Oreochromis niloticus: one gene and its partners. The main gene of each other region encodes a partner of the protein of the gene in region 2 in a complex. Links are inferred from orthologs where the notes say so. Each region holds a gene or a part of one and is shown on either strand. Other genes may lie near its edges. The genes, in order: polr2d, ercc2 and mms19.

Evidence for each region.
Region 1: ercc2 (region 2) and polr2d share a complex: the UniProt entries of both Homo sapiens proteins name them as parts of the TBP-based Pol II pre-initiation complex. The link is inferred for Oreochromis niloticus from reciprocal best matches to the Homo sapiens genes ERCC2 and POLR2D.
Region 3: ercc2 (region 2) and mms19 share a complex: the UniProt entries of both Homo sapiens proteins name them as parts of the MMXD complex. The link is inferred for Oreochromis niloticus from reciprocal best matches to the Homo sapiens genes ERCC2 and MMS19.

What each region holds. Positions count from the first base shown.
Region 1 is NC_031979.2:40,020,931-40,028,135, forward strand, and holds the start of polr2d (DNA-directed RNA polymerase II subunit RPB4), read right to left. Parts: upstream 3,015-7,205; 5' UTR 2,823-3,014; coding exon 2,744-2,822; intron 2,585-2,743; coding exon 2,404-2,584; intron 2,333-2,403; coding exon 2,237-2,332; intron 1-2,236. UniProt on the Homo sapiens protein: Core component of RNA polymerase II (Pol II), a DNA-dependent RNA polymerase which synthesizes mRNA precursors and many functional non-coding RNAs using the four ribonucleoside triphosphates as substrates.
Region 2 is NC_031979.2:34,778,868-34,786,194, forward strand, and holds the start of ercc2 (general transcription and DNA repair factor IIH helicase subunit XPD), read right to left. Parts: upstream 3,061-7,327; 5' UTR 2,884-3,060; coding exon 2,879-2,883; intron 2,630-2,878; coding exon 2,530-2,629; intron 1,548-2,529; coding exon 1,470-1,547; intron 1,389-1,469; coding exon 1,326-1,388; intron 1,198-1,325; coding exon 1,084-1,197; intron 992-1,083; coding exon 875-991; intron 65-874; coding exon 1-64. Other genes in the region: zgc:154093 (cdc42 effector protein 3), read right to left, coding at 5,923-6,831. UniProt on the Homo sapiens protein: ATP-dependent 5'-3' DNA helicase. Component of the general transcription and DNA repair factor IIH (TFIIH) core complex, not absolutely essential for minimal transcription in vitro.
Region 3 is NC_031973.2:22,199,368-22,206,947, reverse strand, and holds the start of mms19 (MMS19 nucleotide excision repair protein homolog), read right to left. Parts: upstream 3,040-7,580; 5' UTR 2,921-3,039; coding exon 2,833-2,920; intron 2,352-2,832; coding exon 2,303-2,351; intron 2,199-2,302; coding exon 1,838-2,198; intron 1,690-1,837; coding exon 1,615-1,689; intron 958-1,614; coding exon 888-957; intron 1-887. Other genes in the region: ubtd1b (ubiquitin domain-containing protein 1), read left to right, coding at 4,124-4,205. UniProt on the Homo sapiens protein: Key component of the cytosolic iron-sulfur protein assembly (CIA) complex, a multiprotein complex that mediates the incorporation of iron-sulfur cluster into apoproteins specifically involved in DNA metabolism and genomic integrity.

The DNA of each region.
Region 1 (7,205 bases), about 5.2 Mb from region 2:
GCCTCCTTGACTCCGCGCTCAAACCAGCGTTCTTCCCTGTCCAGGATGTGTACATCCTCATCATTGAAAGAGTGTCCACTGGCCTGTAGGTGTAAATAGACTGCAGAGTCCTGGCCTGACGAGGAAGCTCTTCTGTTCTTTGATCAGTGGGTTTTGGTCAGTGATTGTTGATCAATGGTCATGGGAATTTGCATAATTATGATTAAGGAACTGACCTCACAGCCCATTGTTCCTTCAGTGGGCTGGTTTCAGTCATTATGCAAATGTACTGTTTATAAGGTTTGGGGAAACCTGCAGTCAGCTGAGACTGAAGAAGTCACTTGGATGAGTGACGAAACGTTTCTCCCACAAAACGCTACGTCCAGATGAACAGATTCAACTTTTGGAGATTTACTTTCCTGGATGATTGAGAATGCATCAAGAGTCCGACATTGTTTTGTCAAAGTTACACACCGATTCAATATTGATTTTAGTGACCTCCGATTGGCCTAAACGGGTGTCATTACTGCCGACGTGAATTATGATCTTACTTTATTTACGTTTACCTTTAGCCAGCAGTTTTAAATTTCCTTCAATGTCGCCTGCTCTGGCCCCTGGAAGACAATTGGTGTCGTAAGCCCCGCCTCTGTTCAAAGATGGTCGCTCACAGTGGACATAAATGGCTTCTTTCACTCCTCTTTCAAACCATCTGTTCTCTCTGTCCAAAATGTGAACATTGGCATTGAAATGGCGTGTCACAAATTTAGAGGATCATCATTTAGCCTGGAGAAATAGTTTGCTGCTTTATAAGAAAGCCCTCCGCAAAGCCAGAACATCTTACTATTCATCACTGATTGAAGAAAATAAGAACAACCCCAGGTTTCTCTTCAGCACTGTAGCCAGGCTGACAAACAGTCAGAGCTCTACTGAGCCAACAATCCCTTTAACATTAACTAGTAATGACTTCATGAACTTCTTCACAAATAAAATTTTTATCATTAGAGAAAAAATTACCAATAATCATCCCACAGATGTAATATTATCTACAGCTACTTTCAGTACCACTGATATTCATTTAGACTCTTTTTCTCCAATTGATCTTTCTGAGTTAACTTCAATAATTACTTCCTCCAAACCATCAACGTGTCTTTTAGACCCCATTCCTACAAAACTGCTCAAAGAAGTCCTGCCATTAATTAATGCTTCAATCTTAAATATGATCAACCTATCTCTAATAATCGGCTATGTACCACAGGCCTTCAAGGTGGCTGTAGTTAAACCTTTACTTAAAAAGCATCTCTAGACCCAGCAGTCTTAGCTAATTATAGGCCAATACTGACAGGGACTAGAAAGAGAGAGCAGATTTCTCCTGTTTTGGCTTCCCTTCATTGGCTTCCTGTTAAATCCAGAATTCAAAATCCTGCTCCTCACATACAAGGTCTTAAATAATCAGGCCCCATCTTATCTTAATGACCTTGTAGTACCATATCACCCTATTAGAGCACTTCGCTCTCGCTCTGCAGGCCTACTTGTTGTTCCTAGAGTATTTAAAAGTAGAATGGGAGGCAGAGCCTTCAGTTTTCAGGCCCCTCTTCTGTGGAACCAGCTTCCAGTTTGGATTCGGGAGACAGACACTATCTCTACTTTCAAGATTAGGCTTCAAACTTTCCTTTTTGCTAAAGCATATAGTTAGGGCTGGACCAGGTGACCCTGAATCCTCCCTTAGTTATGCTGCAATAGACGTAGGCTGCCGGGGATTCCCATGATGCATTGAGTTTTTCCTTTCCAGTCACCTTTCTCACTCACTATGTGTTAACAGACCTCTCTGCATCGAATCATATCTGTTATTAATCTCTGTCTCTCTTCCACAGCATGTCTTTATCCTGTCTTCCTTCTCTCACCCCAACCAATCACAGCAGATGGCCCCGCCCCTCCCTGAGCCTGGTTCTGCCGGAGGTTTCTTCCTGTTAAAAGGGAGTTTTTCCTTCCCACTGTCGCCAAAGTGCTTGCTCATAGGGGGTCATATGATTGTTGGGTTTTCTCTGTATGTATTATTGTAGGGTCTACCTTGTAGTATAAAGCGGATTTAGGCGACTGTTGTTGTGATTTGGAGCTGTATAAATAAAACTGAATTGAATTGAACCTGCCTGTGTGTTTAACTCAGCTAGTTATGAACTGTGGAGCAGCTCCTGTACCTCAACACTGCAGCTGTAACAAAGGCTTTTATTGTTCCTGCTGTGACGTGGATCGGACTTACCTGGGGATCAGGGCTTTGGCCTCCTCGGCGGCTTCTGGACACAGGTTGGCCAAACTGGCGAGCTCGAACTTGTGGAGCTTCTTCTGCAGCAGGAGGCTGAAGACAGAGAGATGACAGGGGTCAGAACTGGATTGCCTCGGACCTGGGCAGGGGCCGGGGGGGCGTACCTGCGCACGGCCGTGATGGTCTCGCGGTTCTTGAAGCGGCTGAAGCGGGCCGTGTAGTTGAGGGTCTTCATGAAGACCTCGGACAGCTCCTGCTCGTCCTCGGCGCTCTCGTTCTGCTGCTTCCTGTGCTCCAGCAACATGTGGACCTCGGAGTTCAGTAGCGTCTCCGCGTTCTCGAACTCTGAGGAGGAGGAGGGGGTTAACATCTGTCAATCACTCAGCACACAGGCTCAGAGAACCCACAGACAGCAGCTCGGTCTGTGTACCCACGTGCACCCACGGACCGCCTGCGCGTGTCGGTAGTTGTTCGAGAGTGCGTGCGCGCGCTGCAGGTACTCACCTTTAGGAAAGAGCAGCTGAGAAGCGTCCTCTTCAACATCACCAACATGCGGAGGAGCCGCGCCGCCTCCAGCCGCCATGTCGAGGAGCAGTCCCGGCTACAGGCCGGGGAGTGTGAAGCCGCCCGGAGGGTGAGACACAGGCGCCCGGTCAAGCCCGGCAGCCCGGTAACAAAGCGCAGGTCGGGGAGGAGGTCGGGGGGTAGAAAGCAGCTCCGCCGATCCGCACCGCAAGAAAACAGCGAGAGCTACTTCCGGGGCGCCCGCGGTCACTTCCGCTCTTTGTGGCGACATTAAAGAACATTATGAAAAACAGAAGGAGGGTGCAGTTTGTGCCAAAGATACGACAATATAAAAAAATAAATTACATAAAACTAGAGAATCAGATCGACAGTTCATTTTCCTGTCTGGCAGGAATCCTTTCAAAGTAACAGTCTCTGCTTGCAGCGCCCTCCTGCGGACGGGAGCGGCAGCGTCTCACTGAGTGTCAGAGAATCGTTTTAAGCAGTTTAAGGAAGATTCTTTTCTTTCATGAGCGCCGGGAGCCGCTGAAACCCGACAAGAAGAAACAGAACAACCGAAATCTGTCTCAGCGGTCGTAAAAGGGAGACTGCGTTGGCCGGGAATCGAACCCGGGTCAACTGCTTGGAAGGCAGCTATGCTAACCACTATACCACCAACGCCTGAAAGCAATGGTGCTGTACCACAATAAAACACACGCAGCATCAGCGACACTCAATATGGCGTAACGTGACGGCTGTGACCTCACGGCAGGGAGGTCCTGGGTATCAGAGAAACTCAGCAGAGGCTTCTCCAAGCACACCGGCCACAAAGTCAACAACCTAGTGTAGCTGTGCAGTACAGCGACGACAGCTCAGACCTGGAAAAACCAAACAGCCACTTCATAACATCAGTTATCAATTTTATTTCTATAGCACATTTAAAAGCAACAAAGTTGCCCAAAGTGCTTCACAAGTAGTTCATGAACAAGAGAAAATGGAAAAATAACACATGATATGAGGCAAAGGCAACATATTTAACATAAAAACAAAACAAACACAAAACAAACCTGATGGTGCTCAAACTGAACTTTGAGTTTCATCAAGCCAGCGTAAAAAAGTGAGTTTCAAGACGAGATTTGAAACACTGTATAGACCAGGGGTCTGCAACCTTTTACACCCAAAGAGCCACTTGGACCCGGTTTCCACGCAAAAGAAAACACTGGGAGCCGCAAATACTTTTTGACATCTAAAATGAAGATAACACTGTATATATTGTTTTTTACCTTTGTGCTTTGTGTGAACAACTAAGGTGTGTTGCTTATGAAATCCATGAAGTGCTACAGAGAAAATTACATTTTATTTACGTAATTAACACATTTTGAACTCTTAAAGAAATATAACAAAAGGAAAGACACCCAGCTGAACTAAAATGATCCATGTAGCAAACAAAAACTGTTGTCAGCCGCCACCCTTATATCTCCTTTGGGCTGTTGGAGCCTTGACCTGACTCTTAAAAAATAATTGGAAAAAAGCACTATGCTGCTGAAAAATGAAAAATAGATATTTGCAAAATTCTGCCTAAATATGTATTTTACCTGGTTAACGCGTGCGGCGGGGCGTGGTTTGCAGCGCCGCTGCAGGGGAGGCGGACGCACCTGAGCGACACCCGCAATCACGCCTCGCCGCCTTTACGTCTGCGCTATCTGTGCTGTTGTGTTGTTGGTGGTGTATGTTGGGCTGTGAGCTGAAAGGCTACAGCCGGCTGTATGCGTACAGCAACCGTGTGTGAAAAGTGCTCAATAAAGAGATGCTCAAAAGCGTGTTCATGGAAACATCGTCGGGTCTGCCGTGATATGTTTACAATGGGACTTTGCTCCTGAACCTCTGTGCACAGAGTCCGCAAATCGGGGATATACGAAGTCAGTTTACTCACGGTGTTTGTCTTTATCATAGTTCACGGTGGAGAACAGCTGCTGACATAATGTGTATCCGAAGATCCGTAGGGTTGAAAGTCTCGATAAATGCACGGCGTTTCGGCGGGTATACCGGCTTCCGCGAGTGTGACTCTTATTTTGAGCGATGAAAAAAATAATAGAATATAATTTTATTTTTATATTTCAAAATCACAACAATCTTCCAATTTAGAACTACGAGTTAAAAAGAACTAACATAAATAAAATACACTTCAGCTAAATACTTCTAATTTATTTTCCCAAACCACGCGGAGCCGCAGTATAAGGACTAAAGAGCCGCATGCGGCTCCGGAGCCGCGGGTTGCCGACCCCTGGTATAGACTCTGAAGTACGAATATCAAGTGGCAAGTGATTCCCAGTGTTGGGAAGGGTACATTTAAATGTATTTCACTACAGATTGCAGAATACATGCCCCAAAATGTATTTTGTAACATATTTGTAACTGAATACTTTGGATTACTTAATCTATTGTCATAATTTTTACAACTACATGAATGTCCTATTGCTGTGTGACTTATTACTATTACTGAAGGTTACTCGCCATACCAATACCAACTAGATTTTTAAATCTTAATATAAAATGAGTAAAAGTAGGGTGGACATTAGGTAAGGCTGCACTTTTTGCAGCGATCTCGTACAGAAAACTATTTCTGTATCAGTAATATGTTTTCTTTCTGTCTGTTAATAATCATGTGGAACTGCACATGATTATTTGCAACTAGCAGGTTGTTAATGCTATCCATCAAGTCTAAAAACAGCATGTTAATACGTGGAGATCCTGAAAGCTGCTCCAAAAAGGATCAGATTATATTTGAAATATTTGTTCAATTCTCCTCCAAACCCCAGCAGCTGTCTGCTGTAAGTTTTGACTGTTTACTAAAATAATAATAAAAGTGTTCCAACATCTCACTGGTTTTGTTCAGGCATACATGTGTACCGTGTTTATTAAAAGAGATGAAGCTTGCGTTTCTGTCATGTAGTGATTATGCTTAGCTGTATGACGCTTATTAGACATGAAACAGATGATACATAAAAGTGAATTTTGCCAAAGTGCTTAAGATTCTTTTTTAAATTATCTTTTTTTCTTAACGAAATCTACGACATCATGTGTAATTTTTTAATGTCATGTGTAATTTCCATTGCAAATATTAATCACAGTTAAATTAAGAGGGGATGGAGCTGTGATGTCATCACGTACACTGCCGTTACAATTGTAGAACGATTGCGCTACATTCTCGGGAAGTCCGAACTCCCGTGTGAACTTAGGTCTGGACTAGTGAAAGTATTTAGAAACAGTCTAACAGTCTGCAGTCTATGAACTAACCTCAGCTAACACCAGCTAACAATGTTAGCTGTGTTGAGTATCCTTCATTAATAGTAATAAAAATCACACAGCAATAGCACATTGAAGATAATGAAGTTTCCCATTCTACTTTCTACTATTCCCATTCGGAATTTCCAAGTAAGAAATGCATTGTGAAGGCCCGATCTCCTCTATGCTTCAGTCGAGACCTCGGCTGTACTAAGAGCATCTGGCTGGACCATCTCGGTGCTCTTTTGGGGTTTTATATGTTGAGGAGTTTCCTTAAAGCATTTAACACTTTGAGAGTAAGTAAAAGACTCATGAAATCAATTTAGATGCAGCTGTTCATCTGCATCCAAAGTTCAAAGGTCACTCTCTGAGAATGCCAGTGTTCACATTGTGGACAGAGAAAACAGTTTGAAAGAGGAGTGAACGAAGCATCTATGTCCACTGTGAGCGACCATCTTTGAACAGAGGGTGGGGCTTACCACACCAACTGTCTGCCATCTATAATCCGGTCGTTTTAACGCCCACTCACACCTTGGGTCAGTTGATTTCAGTAGGTCACATGATGGGGGTCAGGGTCTTTGAGTGGTTTCACCTGCTGATGATGACACACACCCTTTTCACACCTTGGGTCATGTGATGAGCAGTGTTGGTCAAGTTACTTGAAAATACTAATTAGTTACTAATTACTGATCACTTCTCTAAGAAAGTAATCCCATTACTTATGTGTAATAAAGCAACAGACCTTTCAGCCCAATTCTATTTTTTCTCCATAAACCATCATATAAAACTGAATCAAATGAAAAAGTCTCTTTTTAAAACTTGTTTCATTAGTTTTAATCTTTTAACTTTTTGCATCAAGCAAAAATTAAATTATATGCAACAGTCTTTGACTTGAAGAAATATGTTTAACATTTAAACATATTGTCTGCATATTCCAGCATATAAACTAAAATCATGTTTTGTGTTTACACTCACTCTTTCAAATAGATGCAAGTAAAACACAGCAGAAAATAAATAAAATCAAAGATTCAGCAGCACTTAAATCTATTGTCACCTGTTTAGCAGCAATGGGGCGGGTGGAGGTTTGCCCACAGCGGTCATTCAAGATTCAAGATTCAAAGATTCAAAGTGCTTATTGTCATGTGTATAGAAGAAAAAGCATTTCTCCCTGCAATGA
Region 2 (7,327 bases):
TGAGGTCATCAAGGTTGTAGATGCCAGCAGGAAGAGGCACCTGTCGGCCGACTGAATCGAACTCCTGCAACACAAAACAGGTTTTCCTGTTTTCCAGTTTTCAGGCATTGTAAACCTACAGTTTGTATCTGTGTTAAGATCAATGAGCTAAAAAGTCTCAAACTGAGACCTATAACACTTCCTGAGTTCATGTAGGCGACAGCCAGAAACCAAACACTTTTTTAATCTGCATATCTGATGGTGTCGAGTAGTTGCTGGATTTAAGTTTTCAGGCTGATTAAATGCTCCTAACTAATCACGTCGAGCCAGTAAGTTGTAATCATCCAGCACAGAAATGAACAGATTACTAAAGAATAGAAACCTGAACTTGTTTTTAAACTTTTAATCCATAAAGATCACAGAACTTACTCGTCTTTAAGCTTTATTAAGCATTCAAATGTATCTAAGTTTGCATGTAGCACAAAAAGGATCGTGCTTAAAGACAGCAGGAGTCAACCACATGCAACGCAATGCAGGAATAGTTACTAAGTTATACCTTCATATATGCATTTTAGTTATAGTGGTAAAAAACATTTTAGGGGGTTTAAATCTTATAAAATTCATGCATCTATTTTTGGATGCAAATCCAAGAGAAACACTCACAGTGTCACCACCACCACCATCTTCCTGCCTCTTTACCTCAGCAACCTCTTACACTTCATTTAAATCATGAGAGCTGATTTAGCCAGTTAGCATCCTAACTCAGTAGCATCACCGCCCCAAAAGCGCCTGACCCCACCGGTTATGTTGAACCCTGATGCTGTCGTGTCAACAGCCATTACAAAAAAATATCTTCTGCTTCTGTTGAAAAACACCATCTGATGTGAGTTCTTGCCTCGTAGAAGCGACAGACGGGCAGGTTGGGGTTGCTGTGATGTTGTGCGCGGATGTATGATGCTGTCAGACTGTGGCACTTCCCATCGACTTCCTTACCGAAGCGCAGAGAGCTCACCTGTGAGAAGACAAGCGTGTCGGTCACTTTTGAAAGGAGAAAGCTGAATCCTAAATCGCTCCTTTAGCTTCGTGGGATGCGGGTGTTCATACCTCAGGGTGGATGCAGAGGTTCTTCCTGGAGGAAAGAGCGAGAGCCAGGAAGTTGTTGCTCTCTCCTGTTTCTTTAGTGTAAAACTCCATCAGCTTCCTCAGCTCCTCCACAACCTTATCGGAAAGAATCAAACACACCATGTGAGACGTCGGGGCTTTGAACGCTTCTTCTTGTTTAATTCAAAAAGAAAGTTACACAGTAGAAACACGCTTCACTGACGACTGATTTGACGTCCACTCACCTTCTCGATCTCCGGAACTGTTCTAGAGCAGTAAATTAACTTGGTGACCTCCAGAGGGAAAGCCTGAGAGAGAGAGAACATATTTACATGCTGATCTACCACCAGCTGTTAGTATAAACCACTTATGAGAGAGGCTGAACTCACCCTTTGGTAGGCCACAATGAGGGACAGTAGAGAGATGGTCTTCCCTGTTCCTGACGGCATCTCCAAGACTCCATGACCCTGAACAGGAACAGGTTCGGTTAACACAGAAAGCAGCAGCTGAAAGTAAACACTCACTTTTAAACGTGAGCGAAATCTGAGATGGACACACTGTACTTCCCTGAAGGAGCAACACAATACGACACAGTGACACAAAAGGTAAAATCTGGACTAAATACTGTAACTTTAGGAATCATCTCTTCAACTCCAAGGAAGGAAAGAAGGAAAAAAGTAACTCAAATTTTAAAATACATACATGACTAGACTGATCACATCAAGAAAAAAATAGAACTTTTCTTTAACTGGAAACAGCAAAGAGCAGAAAATTTGATTATCTTAAATAACTGAAATAACAACTGGATAAAAAAGATGACTCGTCTTCCACCTTCTTCAGACCAAAATGAATCTATTGCTATGCTTGCATCCTCCTCTGTCCCCGACAGCAGCTGTACAGGCTTCATATATCAACCCCTTCGCATGTCCTCCTTCACCACATCCATTTTCTCTGAGTCCTTCCTCTTCTCTCCTGCCTGGCAGCTCCATCTTCAACACCCTCTGATCAATATATCCACTATCCCTCCTCTGCACACGTCCAAACCATCCCAGCCTCTCTAACTTTGTCTACAAACCATCTCAACCCTCTGATGTATTCAACTCTAATCTAACCATCCTCGTCAATCACAATGAAAATCTTAACATCCTCAGTTCAGCCTCCTGTCTTTTTTCAGTGCCACCGTCTTCAAACCAAACATTATACCAAATCTCACTACCATCTTGTAAACCTTGCCTTTCACTCTTTCTGATATCATTCTGTCACAAAGGACTCGTGACACTCATCTCCATCCAATCCACCTCTCTTCTCCACTGTTCATTCACACGTGTCATCCAACCTCTGGACTGATCGACAGTCCAGCTTACACCCAGGGTATTTTGTGTAGATAGGAGCACAGATGAACCTGTGCATGAAAACCACGCCTTCAGATTAACCTCTGACACCACCCACCTTGGCATCCAGCGTCCTCTTCAGCTCCAGCATGTAGGAGTACTGCTCGGGGTAGATGTAGTCATAGGGAAAATACACCAGCAGACCCTCAATGTTGAGCCTGCAAGGAAACAGCAATGATGCTAACAGTGCACAGCAGCTGTACAGACTTCATACTGGACTATCTTTAAGCCAAGTATGTGCGAATGAGTGCGAGACAGCTAAAATAAAAATTAAAACAGTGATTTGGATAAACTAGAGCCACAAAACTCTGATTTTATGTGGACTTGGCTCAGGTATGTCACAGTTGCTGGAAACGAGCTAACACTGAAAGCCCATGTTGTCTGTTTGTACTCAGTAAAACACTCACTTCATCTTCACAGCACGTTTAGCGGCAGCTCCTCTTCTTTTTACGTAACTTATGTTATTTTAAAACAGTCATTAAAATTTGAATGTGCGCAAAAAACACAAAACAAAACGCCGCATTAGCAACGCCACAGCCTGCTGCAGCATTTAATTCTTCTTCGTTTGTCGTTTAAACGCTATCAGACGGATTACGGCCCCCTACAGGCCAAAAGAAAAACTAAATAGTCCACTGTAATGCTTCGAAGTTACATTTAAAAACCCTTTATTTAATTAGTTTATAGTTAATGTCTCCTTATATTTATTTTATTTATGTATTTATATTTAAATTTGACGACGATTACTTCAACTGGAAGTGTTAGCCTGCTGCTATCGGCGCTAACTTTGACCACATTCGAGTCATATAACAATTTAATTTCCGGTGAATAGTTTGTAATATAAACGCTAAAATAACCCATCAGTTAGAATCGCACGAGCTTCAGTGTTTAATGGTATACTGTGTATTATCAAACAGCCGTTACATCTTACTGTGTAGAGGTAAATGTGACTTTTCGGTCGTTTTACTTTTTACGTTTTAATTATAATTCACAGCTGTGCTTTCTCGATGCTTTCGTTTATTATTTGGGCTTCAGCGTGTACAGCAAAGGCATGCATGTGTTGGGTAATTTCATTATATTTTTTTGTATTACTTGGAATACCCTACCCGAATAACTTTATTTTCACAGGCTTTTCCGGAAGTAGTTCTAAGTCAGCTGCATTAATGAGATTTTAGTCATTTTAAAGAGTTGCCATTCCAAAGAGTGACCACACGGGGGCAGCACATAGCAATAAAATCGCCCTTGTGCACACTATAACGTCTGATGTATCCTTTCAAAATACTCCGATTAGGAAGAATTTTTCATCCGCAACCAAAACAAAGTAATCTGAATTCTCAGAATATATTAATAAATAATTATAAATAGACCGACAACAAAATTAAACTTTTTTTTGCTGTCCAGATTCTTTAATTTCACACATATTAACATTTATTTATACAGATTTATACTTTTACTGCACCTGCACTGAATTGAAAACTAGTTTTTAATGGTTTGAAATTTAATCTGAAAACTATTAAAAAAGACTTTTTTTCCCTTTTTTTTTTTACTGTAATTACGTCACTGTGGTTCAGAGGTTTGGAAATCTTTATTCATCTCATCGCTGCATGTGAAAAACACCCATAAAGTATGCCTACTAGTGTTAATGTCTATAAAGCGTCTGTCTGCGAAGAAGAAACCGCAAAGTTTTTGCAGTAGGAAACATTTTATTCGTACATTTACAGATTAATCATACACCATAGATGACATTTGAATAATAGGCTACTGTGATCATGCAGACAGTGAATGTCAGGGAGGCAGAGAGTGAGCCACAGCATGTATAAAGACAGATATCTCAAAACTGATCAACAAAGCAGCACTTTTTCTTATTCTTACCCTTAAAGCTTTTAAACAACACCAACATTAAGCATACCCAGCTTCTCTCTGATGATAAAAAACTAAAAAACAAGGTTAAACCTGCCAGTGAAATGTTGATTAAATGGGATACAATCATATTAGAGGATGACAGTAAAGTCAGCAGCAGCGGAGTTGATGTAAAAGAGTGAAGATGTCAACATTTCAGCCCCAAATCACACCTTAGGAAGCCAAAATGAAGAATTTAACCTGCAGCATTAAACTAGTAGTATTAGCAGTTTGTAGCTTAGTCTATGTACGTAACATGAACTCTGCTGCAGAAATACACATTTATCCTGAAAGAATTAATAGCTGTGCAGCTGGAGATTCCTCCTGTTTTCCCAGGCCGATCTGGAGACAAGTATATTTGACTCTGCAGAGAAGTGAGCAGGAAATCCTCAGTGAGAGTCAGATTAACAGGCGATACAGATTAAAGGGAGCAGTGGTGATGTTACTGCAACTGTGCTGGTTAACTTGGAGCAGGGTTGCCAACTTTCAGCTGTCAGTTGGGGTGAGATGAGGGTGGCGATGTTTATGTGGGATAATTAAACACAAAAAATGATGCAGGTCACAGGTGAAGGACAGCCTGTATTTCCTCTCATAACTTGTTTGTGCAAGCGATTCGGTAGTTTTGGCACACTTCTCTATCCCACACTGGGATGTACTTGTGGATCAGCACAGCTGTTTCACTTTTTTATACTAGGTCCATTAAAAATTTGGGAGGCTGTCGCAGAATGTGGGACAGTTTTTAAAGATGATAATCTTTTTTTTGTCATTTTTGGATCACTCCTCGCTTTAAATAACCTAGAGAGAGGTGCTGCGACATATTTTAGGTAATTTTCAGGATAAATCTGCCAAATTTGTTTTGCTAGTAAAATTCTAAACACCTCTTGGCTTATTTTATTGGTTAAATTAATGATTAGAGGTGTCATCCTCCTATACAGCCTGCTGTTATGGTAAACATCCATAAACACTGTAAGTTGAAAAGTTTTGTTGCAGGGTTAGTTAATAGTTCTAAATAACTAATAAAGTTAGCTCTGTTGGACTGTTTTGGTAAATATGTGCAGCTGTTTCGCTGTGGGGACACTCACATGTATCCTTGTGAAGTTGCAGGTATTTAATACACTCACAGGAAAGACTTCCCCCATCAGCTGAAAGCAACAGGATGTTTATGGACCTGTTTTGTTCTAAAATGGGCAGAAAACACCTGCCCAAAACATACATGCAAATGGGTGTATTTTTTTTAAATAAAGGAGGGTCTGCAGGTTTCTTTGGACACCGTGAGAATGACGGTGTGCACGTAACCGTTGGCAACCCCATGTTATAGTTTAAAATCTATGTGCATGAGGTTCAGCTTTGAAGGCTCGAGCAGCAACGTCCTGCATTTCAAGCTTCTTGAAGTCTTTTATCACCTTCAGACTCGGCTCCCAGGAGTAGGCGGAAATATAAGTTCCCCTCCCTCCTCCGTCAGTCCCTCCATCTTTTGTCTCCATCAGTCTGTTCAGAGTTTTAAAGGATATATTAAACCATGTATAAAAATATCTTTTTGTCTCATTAATCTCAATCACAGCTCGCAGTGGTTGTCCTCAGCTTTGTAGCGGTCCATGATGCTCAACACATCCTCCAGGATGGATGGGCCCAGATCCAGGTTCAACCCCGCAATGGAGTCGGAGCGCGACACACCGGAGGGCTTTGTGAGGCCGGCGGGGTGGAAGACGGTGCAGGGTGACTCGCTGCGTTCGCTTCGAAGATCCTCGTTGCTCAGGTAGGTGTCGGAGTCCAGGCTGAGGCCCCGGCGAACGTCCTGCGGCCCGCAGATCTCTGACATGGAGTCCTCAGAGGAGCCCTCAGAGAGGGAGCCGGAGGAGGGGACGAGTCTGCGGATAGCTGGGGAGAGGGAGATGTCACGGCAGGGCTCGGACGCCAAGCGACCCACCACGCCATTCTCACAGAGCGACACGGTCGGGTGCTGCTGGCGCTGACCGTCTGTCTGGCTGCAGCCATTGTTCTGTTTGGGGGTCGCCGCAGGAGGGTGCTGATGGTGGTGGGAGGGACCATCCAGATGGAGGCGTGGCGGTTTGGGTGGAGCCTGTTCGTGAGCGATGAACACAGGCATGGAGATGGTGTTCTTCAGCAGGCCGCTGGACGAGTGCTGGTAATGGTAGCCGTTAAAAGCGTAGCTGTGCACGTCCTCTTTCGCGGTGAGGCCGTCTCCCAGGTCTCTCTCCACACTGTGCGAGCGGGCGTGGCCGTTCTGCGTCCGGCTCGTGGGTGGCAGCATGTCCATCTTACCCTGGAGGAAGCCGACGTCTCCAAACATGTCGCCCTCGCCTTCAGGCCCCACGTGGGCACTGTGACGCACGTCGCCCAGCGGGGGGCTGATCATGTCACCTGAGAGGACGTCCCGGAGCTTCAGCTTCTTTCCCTTCTTGGGAGTCGTTGTCTTTAGGTACATTGGCGTCTTTGCAGGCATCTTGATGTGGATGTTGGGTTCCTCGGGCCGTTTGAGCTCCAGCAGGAGAAATTCAGCGGAAAGCAAACAGCACTGAGTTGATAAGAAGCTCTCTTGGCTGTTTTTCCCACTCTCAGCTCAGATATCCAGTCTGTTCTGCTTCTCCAAGCGAGTAAACAAGTATTTGGGTCGGTCAGAGTAGCGATAGCAACCTGGCGGTTGAGCCTCACACTGACATGTGACTCAGGAAGGGAGAGGAGAAAGGCCTTGACCTCAGATCAGCTCCCTCTGTCTTCCCCTCCTACGCAGAAAATCCATATCAAAGCAAACGCCGAGCCCTCGTCTCCTCAAACTCTCGTCTTTATCCCGGCTCAGGCAAACAGCATGCAGGGGATCAAGACTGGGATCTCTGGCTGCCTCGCCGTCTGCTGCCCGGTCAGTCCTCCAAGTTCCTCAGAAACTTCAGGAATGTGACATCAAAACACTGGAGATCTGTGAGGAGAAATCAGAGCGAAAA
Region 3 (7,580 bases), on a different chromosome or scaffold from region 2:
GTCCATCTTTACAAATCGTATAATCCCAGACTTTTATAAATCACTCTTTGATGACTCTGAATGCTGTTATTAGTCATGTTGATTTTTATCATATTGGAGATGAAGAAGAGTGTAATGATTTTTTAGACTCTGACAGTATTCTAAATATAGTTTAAAATAAAGTTAATAAATGTATTCCAAGGTGCTGCACATCGACAAATCACCTAAAAGCAGCCTTACTGGGTCTGATTAATATCACCAGTTTGTAATTAAACTGTGTTATCTACAGTTGCTGTAACCTGCATGTTGTCCCTGTCAGGTCAGCTGAATAATGAAGATTCACTACTCATTTAAAATCTGGTTAGATCCCAACTGTTTTTTCAAAAAAATATATAATAATGAAATGATTCTGTGTAAATGAGTAAACATCTCTGCTGTTAAAATCACACTTTTCCCCTCTTCTGTTTTTTTAACGAAAACAACACGATCCAACATGACCCACAGAATTAAACAGGAGGGTCTTGACCGTTGCCATGGTGAACATAGTCTGGAACCAAAAACTCAGAGCTTACATTTAGAGTTTGTTAAATCTGCTTTCTGGAACAAAGCCCAGGTCACAGTACCATCCCTCCTGTAAACATTTCCAGTTTAACAACTGGTAGCTGAGCACAAGTATTTCACTGTCAGCCCTCCATTTGCATCTTTTACAGTATGGCTGTTATCCTAAAATATTAGCCAAACAGAGGACAGTGTGTCAACGCCTTCCATTACTGCTGTGAGATTGCCCGACTTTTAAAGCTCATGCTTAACTCTTAAATCACTGGTTACTTCAACATGACCTGCTTCCTTCCACAGAGCTTTCTGTCTCTATTAACTGAGGTTTTGTGAATCAAAACATAATCTCTTACCCGCCTCTCTGGTCTCCATGATGTTGATAAGCATGCTGTAGACACATGCTCTCTCTGATAGCATCAGAGACTGCAGGGGAAATAAATACATTTGTTATTAGTAGGAACAGTTTTAGATGAGTCAGTTTTACCAGCAAAAACAATAACAGAGAGGAAACAAGAACATCTAACAAGTGTGGCTAGATGTTTCCGACAGTGTGTTACATTAGGTTTTAAAAGCATTAATGTCGGAAAAATCAAACAACTGCGAAACTAGGAAAAGTCATAAAACGTCCACTAAAGTCAGAATAAACAACTCAGACAGTCGAACTGTTGATATCATATTACAAAAAAAAAAAGTGGAATGTAAAATGTGAATTGTTTGGTTAATCATAATAAATTATTTGATTAATGGTGAAAACTCATGCACTGCAAATTGCTTAAATCTAATTTCTAACATTAGCATTTTGTCATAACCCTCCAAGTACAGTGATCTAGATTAGTTATAAATGTAAGGTGATTTATTTATAAGCAACAACTTGATCTTGACAACAATTTCGGTTAAGTAAAATACATAATGCAGTCTTTGTAAAATCCATATTCTCTTCAATTCCAACTTTAAAGAACACAAACACATCAAAGCTCACAACTAAGTATTGAAACTATGAAATTATGTAGGTAAAAATCAATCCAGCACTGTTGTTATTCCTCACAATAACACTTTAAATGTACAATATGACAGTCTCACCTGTACATGGATGTCCTGGAACACTGACCTCAGCATGGACACAGCTGAGCCAGGAGGCAGGTTTGTACATTTTGTCTGAATGGGGGGAAAAATGCACATTAAAAAAAAAGAAAGAGGAAATGCATAACCTGCCTCACATTTGGAACTTCTCAAAAAAGTCCCCCAGCCTGAAATAAAGTTACAGATTTGAGCAGAAACAAAATGTTTTCAAAGAACGACTAACCAGCGCCTTGAGCCCCTTTAAGACGGGAGGTGTGACGACATAATGATCCTTCAGACGGTTTTCATAGAAGGCAATGAGCACTTCCACTGTGGAGAAGAACAGGAAGAAATGCTGAGTGCTGATCGCCCCTTGACATGAATAAGCGTCATCGGAAGACATATATGGATATAAAAATGCAGTTATTTGAAAGCATTTTTGATTTGTCACTTTGCACGAAGCCGTACAATGCCAGCACAGTATATGGAAGGAGAAAGGTGTACCTTCTCTCTCTGTAAGATCTCCATAGCACTCCTGCAAAACCTCAGAGAGCAGATGGACTCCTCGGGCTCGAGTGTGAGGCTGAGAACTGGTCAGACTGGACCTTTAATAGGAAAGGGAATGAAGATAGAAGTTGGTATTAGATAGGAATGTAATTGCAAACTCTGGCTGATATTTTCCCCTGACATGACGATGAAGATTGCTTACCCCAGTGCTTCCACCAGCTGCAGAACTGTAAACTTCCCATCTTTGACACCTGATCAAAAAACCCCCAAATAAGTTTAGTGAAGTGGAGTGATGCGCTATCGCAATGCAAATACACGCATGCTCTAACTCTAGTAGCTGTACCAGGTTATAACTCAAAGGTAAGGCCACAGGGTTCATTGACAGGGTACTTCTACACAAACACAGCAGCTAGCAAGCAGCATGTGCTTTAACCGCTGCGGACTAGCATCAAATTAAGAGTCCTTGTGAAGAGACAATGTGTTCAAACTTGATGCATACATCCAGAATGTGCATTTACGCCAACAAAATGAGCAAATATATTTTCACGGCGAATGCTTGCTCTTTATCTTGCGGTTACAACACTACACAGGATGTTGTAGCGCTAAGTTAGCTAGTTAACCATCACGTCTCGCTGCGCATCCTCGAAGAGCAGCTCTACAGCCTCTCCCGCGTTACTTTTGTGAAAAATGCATCGTAAATGTCACCGGCAAACCGCGACGAAAGCCTTTTACCTTTTGCCGCATCTTTAGCCTTGCTGTCCTGCAGTCCAGACACAAATTCCTCCACCAGAGACAGCGCCAAGGTACTCTCCGCAGCCATCGTGTCCCTGTAACTACTTCGCTGGCACTACGCATGCGCGAAAACTTTAGGTGAATCGCGAAAAGCGACTGGTTTTAGATTATAATCTCATAAAAATATAACCTTTAAAAACAGTATAATATTATTTCCACACAAAACAGTGTCTTTTCATCTTTATAGAATGAAAAGATTTACCGAATGGTGGAAGAAAAGCTTCAATATTATGTCCTTTAATGCTGCATTCACGTACCGTCCGAACAATACTCTACAAATACTAGAACTCGCAAAAGTGGAATTCTCTTGATGTTCCTGATGTACATCCTCTTCCTTCCACTGAAGTTTTGCTTTTAAGAGGTTCCAATTAATTACTACTAGTATAATTTCAAGTATAGACATTAGGAGAACGTGTAGCTGTTGTATGATAACTCCGGTGTACAAATTAATTTGCGTACTCCTGCATTCATAATTGTGTCAAGTCCTGACGCAATAGAAACCAACACCTGGCTGGATGCTTTTGCGCAAGCGTAAAGAAAAAAGTTCGGCGGCGCTAGCAGACCGCCGCTGGTCACCTTTCACCAGCGAAGTGGAGAGAATTTTTTTTTGGGGGGGGGGGCTATTTAAAGAAAAGACTGTACCGAGCTCGTCAAAGAACTGAAGTACTCCTTCGTACGGCGGACAGAGGGAGGCTGTAATGACCCGCTACGTTTGTCATAGACGGAACATGCGGGGAAATGATCTCGTGCGCGCGGAAGTTTGTGTTTACTTACGCCGCGGTAGCTAGCGTGTTGGCCCTGTTAGCCTGTTAGCGAGAAAGGTGCGCTGTGCCTGGACGGGTTAACAGCAACACTTACAAGTCAGCCCAGCTTAACGAGCTACGTTAAACAGTAGAAACATACTGTATATATCCTGAAGCTAACAACGAGCTGGTGGCAGATGCTGCGGATTGCTCAAACTCTTGAAACATTGGTGCGGGCCACGAGCCGTGAACTCTGCGTGCGCGTGTCACACGCAGGCAGAAATTATTTACAAAGAGGGCACTTTAAGCCCTAATCTGAAACGTATAGAGCTGCAAAACGTGATTTAAATATTAACTGCCGCCCTCAGTCTTGCGTCGCTGTGCGCACGAATCATCCTCCTCATCGGACCTAGTACAACATCCTCGTCCGCAATGGGGCCCCTGTTTAGCCATTGAGACCCGTGGAAGCGATCTGGAGCCCGTTAACCATGGGGGGATGTATGGGCAGATACTTGGAAGGCTGGGAGGACTCGCAGAGCCGGGGCTCCTCCAGGAACGGTGGACGAGGAGGTAAGGCAACATTGTGTGGATGTTGTATAAATATGCGGGGAGGTTTCTTTGAAACATCAGAGCTGGAAACTTAAAATCATACAGCAATAGTGTCTCTGACCGTTCATGATTAGTGATGCCAAAAAAAAAAAAGAAGAGAGAAATATTCCTGCGTTGATAGTTTTGTGTTGCCAATAGCAATAGCAGGTTTAGACTTTACTCAGAGTGCATTTCTGGTCACCACTTGGCCCTTTTTTGTCTTGTGGCTGCTGTTAAACAGAGGTATCTGGGCAGGTGCACGAAATCTCCATTCACGATTACTCACACACACATCTTAAACATGTATGAATTGTTTAGAAGGGGTTTAGATCTGGGTGGGTTGGTTAAAGTTACCAGATTGTCTAGTTACAGAAAGTGGAAGCAGGTTGGGAGGTGGCAGTTTGCATTTTGTGTGAGGAAAGTGGATTCTGTTGTAGCTCTCTTTGATGTGTGCCTCTTCTGCATCGGTAAAAAAAAAAAAAAGGAGTTTATTCTTTAGCTTTGACAAGGTTTTTTTCTCATCTTATCAGTTCAGACTGGTGAAGCAGTATATTCAGATAACATCTGTAACAAAGCTGATGGCAGTAAACTCGTTGGGTAATTTTCGTATATTAAAATCTAGGGTGTAAGCTCTGTGTTGTGGTTACTGTAACAGCCAGCTACATTACATTAATTCCAAAAGTTGCTCTCTTTTCACATCAGTTCATGTCTGTTGGTTACGGACTTTCCTGAAAGTTAACATAATAATAAACTGCTACTTTTTTTAACCAACCTGAAGTTAACCATCAACACACAGGCTCCGTGCAGCTGAATTATTAGACACTGGGAACTTCTCCTTAGTTTCGATTTACAGAAAACAATGCTGATTATATTTTGTGTGACCTTGTTATGATACCCTCAGTCATTATTGGGAGATTAGCGCTTTACAGCCTGGTAGGTTCATGAATGGGGGTCACATAAACACATTGGGATGGGAAAAGACTTTTCAGCTTTTTCAGATTTCTGTCATATTGCTTTAAAAGCATGCTCACTTGTGTGACTACAGTGCAGGCCCACTTGAGCTCAGTGTTTGCCTTAGAGTGGCTGCTCAGGAAACTAAATGTCTGTTATTCATTTGGATGCAGGTTCTGTCCCTTTGATTTGTTACTGCTGGAAAGTTTTTCAGTACGCCTTTTTCTAGTGGGAATTGTCTCCAGTTTGCATCAGAAAGATGGGAGGTTTTTAAGATTGATTCCAGCTTTCGCCATATAAAAAAGGGCGTTGTTTGAATAGACTTTCTGACCCCTGCTTATAGAGTTGCATCCTAAAATTAGACACTAACATAGATTTTTGATGCCAATATGACCTTCTAAGTAAGTTTCTTTGTCGTGTGCCAGAGTAGCTATTTAAAGTTAAAGCTGTCACAGCCAGCATACCCAGGCTTTCTGGCAGTGGCTCATGTTGATTTCCCAACTTGATTAGACTCAACATGCTCCCTTTGCTAGACGAGGCTTCGATCAAGAACAAGTCACATCATGCCCCGCTGCATCATTGACTGACACTGACTTTTGTCTGTTACATACACGCTCATAAAGAAACACCACTTGATAAGAGAAGGAATTGGATAGCTTATATGGGATCTCAATTTTTCCATTTGTTCTAATTTCGTTTGGATGAGAGCTCAGTAATTTGTGTTACTATGTTCGTGTTAGGTCTGCCTACCACATGCTCAAAGGAACAAAAAGGAAGCTTGTTTGTATTGTCATGCTGAAACAAAATAATGGAAGAACAAGTTTGGACTTTAAATAAAGATATGCAGACACCCGTTGAAATTATCATTTGTCCCAATAAAGGGATTTTATTGTGGAAGTGTTGGAAGTTACAGAATATACAAGTTAGTAACACATTTAGAAGCAGCACAGATGTAACTGAAAGGTGATTAGAAATGCACAATTTCCAGTTTATCTTAAATATTGATTTTTATAAAGTCAAATATCAATCAGGCTTTAAGAGTATATAAAACCTGCTGAATATATATATTCACAAGGTTTGCTTGCTAGTTTTGTAAATCCCTTAATAATAACAGTAGACTGATTAGCCACGATAACGTCAAAGCTCTCAAAGATTAGGATCTCAAGAATCAACAAAATAATTCACTGGAAACTAAGCTGAACTGTGAAGGAAAGTGAAACCTGCCCGTTCCAAGGTGGTGTATCTATTTTGAATGTAATTGCTTCAGAAAATAGCTTGATTAAGGAGAAACACATTAATTTAGTTGACAATGTCTGTAATTTAGTGGTGTTGTGCTTTTTTGTTTGTTTTTGTTTTTGTTTTTTTAAGCATCTCTGTAACAGTGGTTTGCAATTTCAGTCAAAAGCAAATATAGATCAAACCTCAAACCAGCTTCCCCATGAGTGACTCTCAGCACTGTTTGTATCCAGCTGTCTCAGACTAACCAGAAATCAGCTGGGCTGTTGTATTGTCATGTCAAGGCTCGATTCTGACATGGAGGCGTTCAAGTCATAGTTTCACTTTATTGGCTCGTCTCGTACCGAGCAGGGTTTCTGCTACATCAGCACATCATCGCTATGGTTGAACCTAGGGCTGCTCAATTAATCGAATTTTAATCTCGATTACGATCTGGGTTTTGAACGATCATTAAAAATGACTGAGCCGATTATTAGCACCTCCCTCGTGCTTTACTCTCGCGCTGCTCCGTGTGGCAAATCGAGCGCACCTCTCTGCGTTTCGAACACGCGTCACAACAATTAAGAGGACCCGAGGGAAGCTCGGAAAGCTAAGCATAAGTTATTTGGAGAGGAGAGGATAATGGCTGCTGAAGAAAGAATGCCGCTGGTTGAAAAGAGAGGTAAAACGACTTCAGTGGTGTGGAAACCAATGTTCCCTCTAAGCTGCGCATGTGCGCAATTGCGCACTGCTGGCACGGTCTCTGCGCACAGAAAATCTGCGTTGCGCACAAAAAAAATCTAACCTGAATTGAAATTAAAATTAAAACTTTAACAATTCTGTTTTGCAGTGTTAGTCAGTGAGTGACTGGCTGCTCCTGTATGGGATTAGAACGATGCCACCTTATCCTACAGTCCAGCCAATAATGCGATTCACATTCGTATATACGCAGCCAATCAACGTCGTTGACAGGCTATGACAGCGTCCTTATGTGCCGACACCGGTGTTTTAGCTAGCAAAGCGGCGTGGCTGATGTGCAGTGAAGCCACATTAATGACAACGTGTACAACCATTGGAGATGTGAGCAGGACAGACGGAACAATTGACGGAAAAAGTGTGGACTTTATACCAGTTTTTAAATTGTGTTGATAGGTCACGTAAAACCAGAGTTATGATAAAAATATCTGCAAT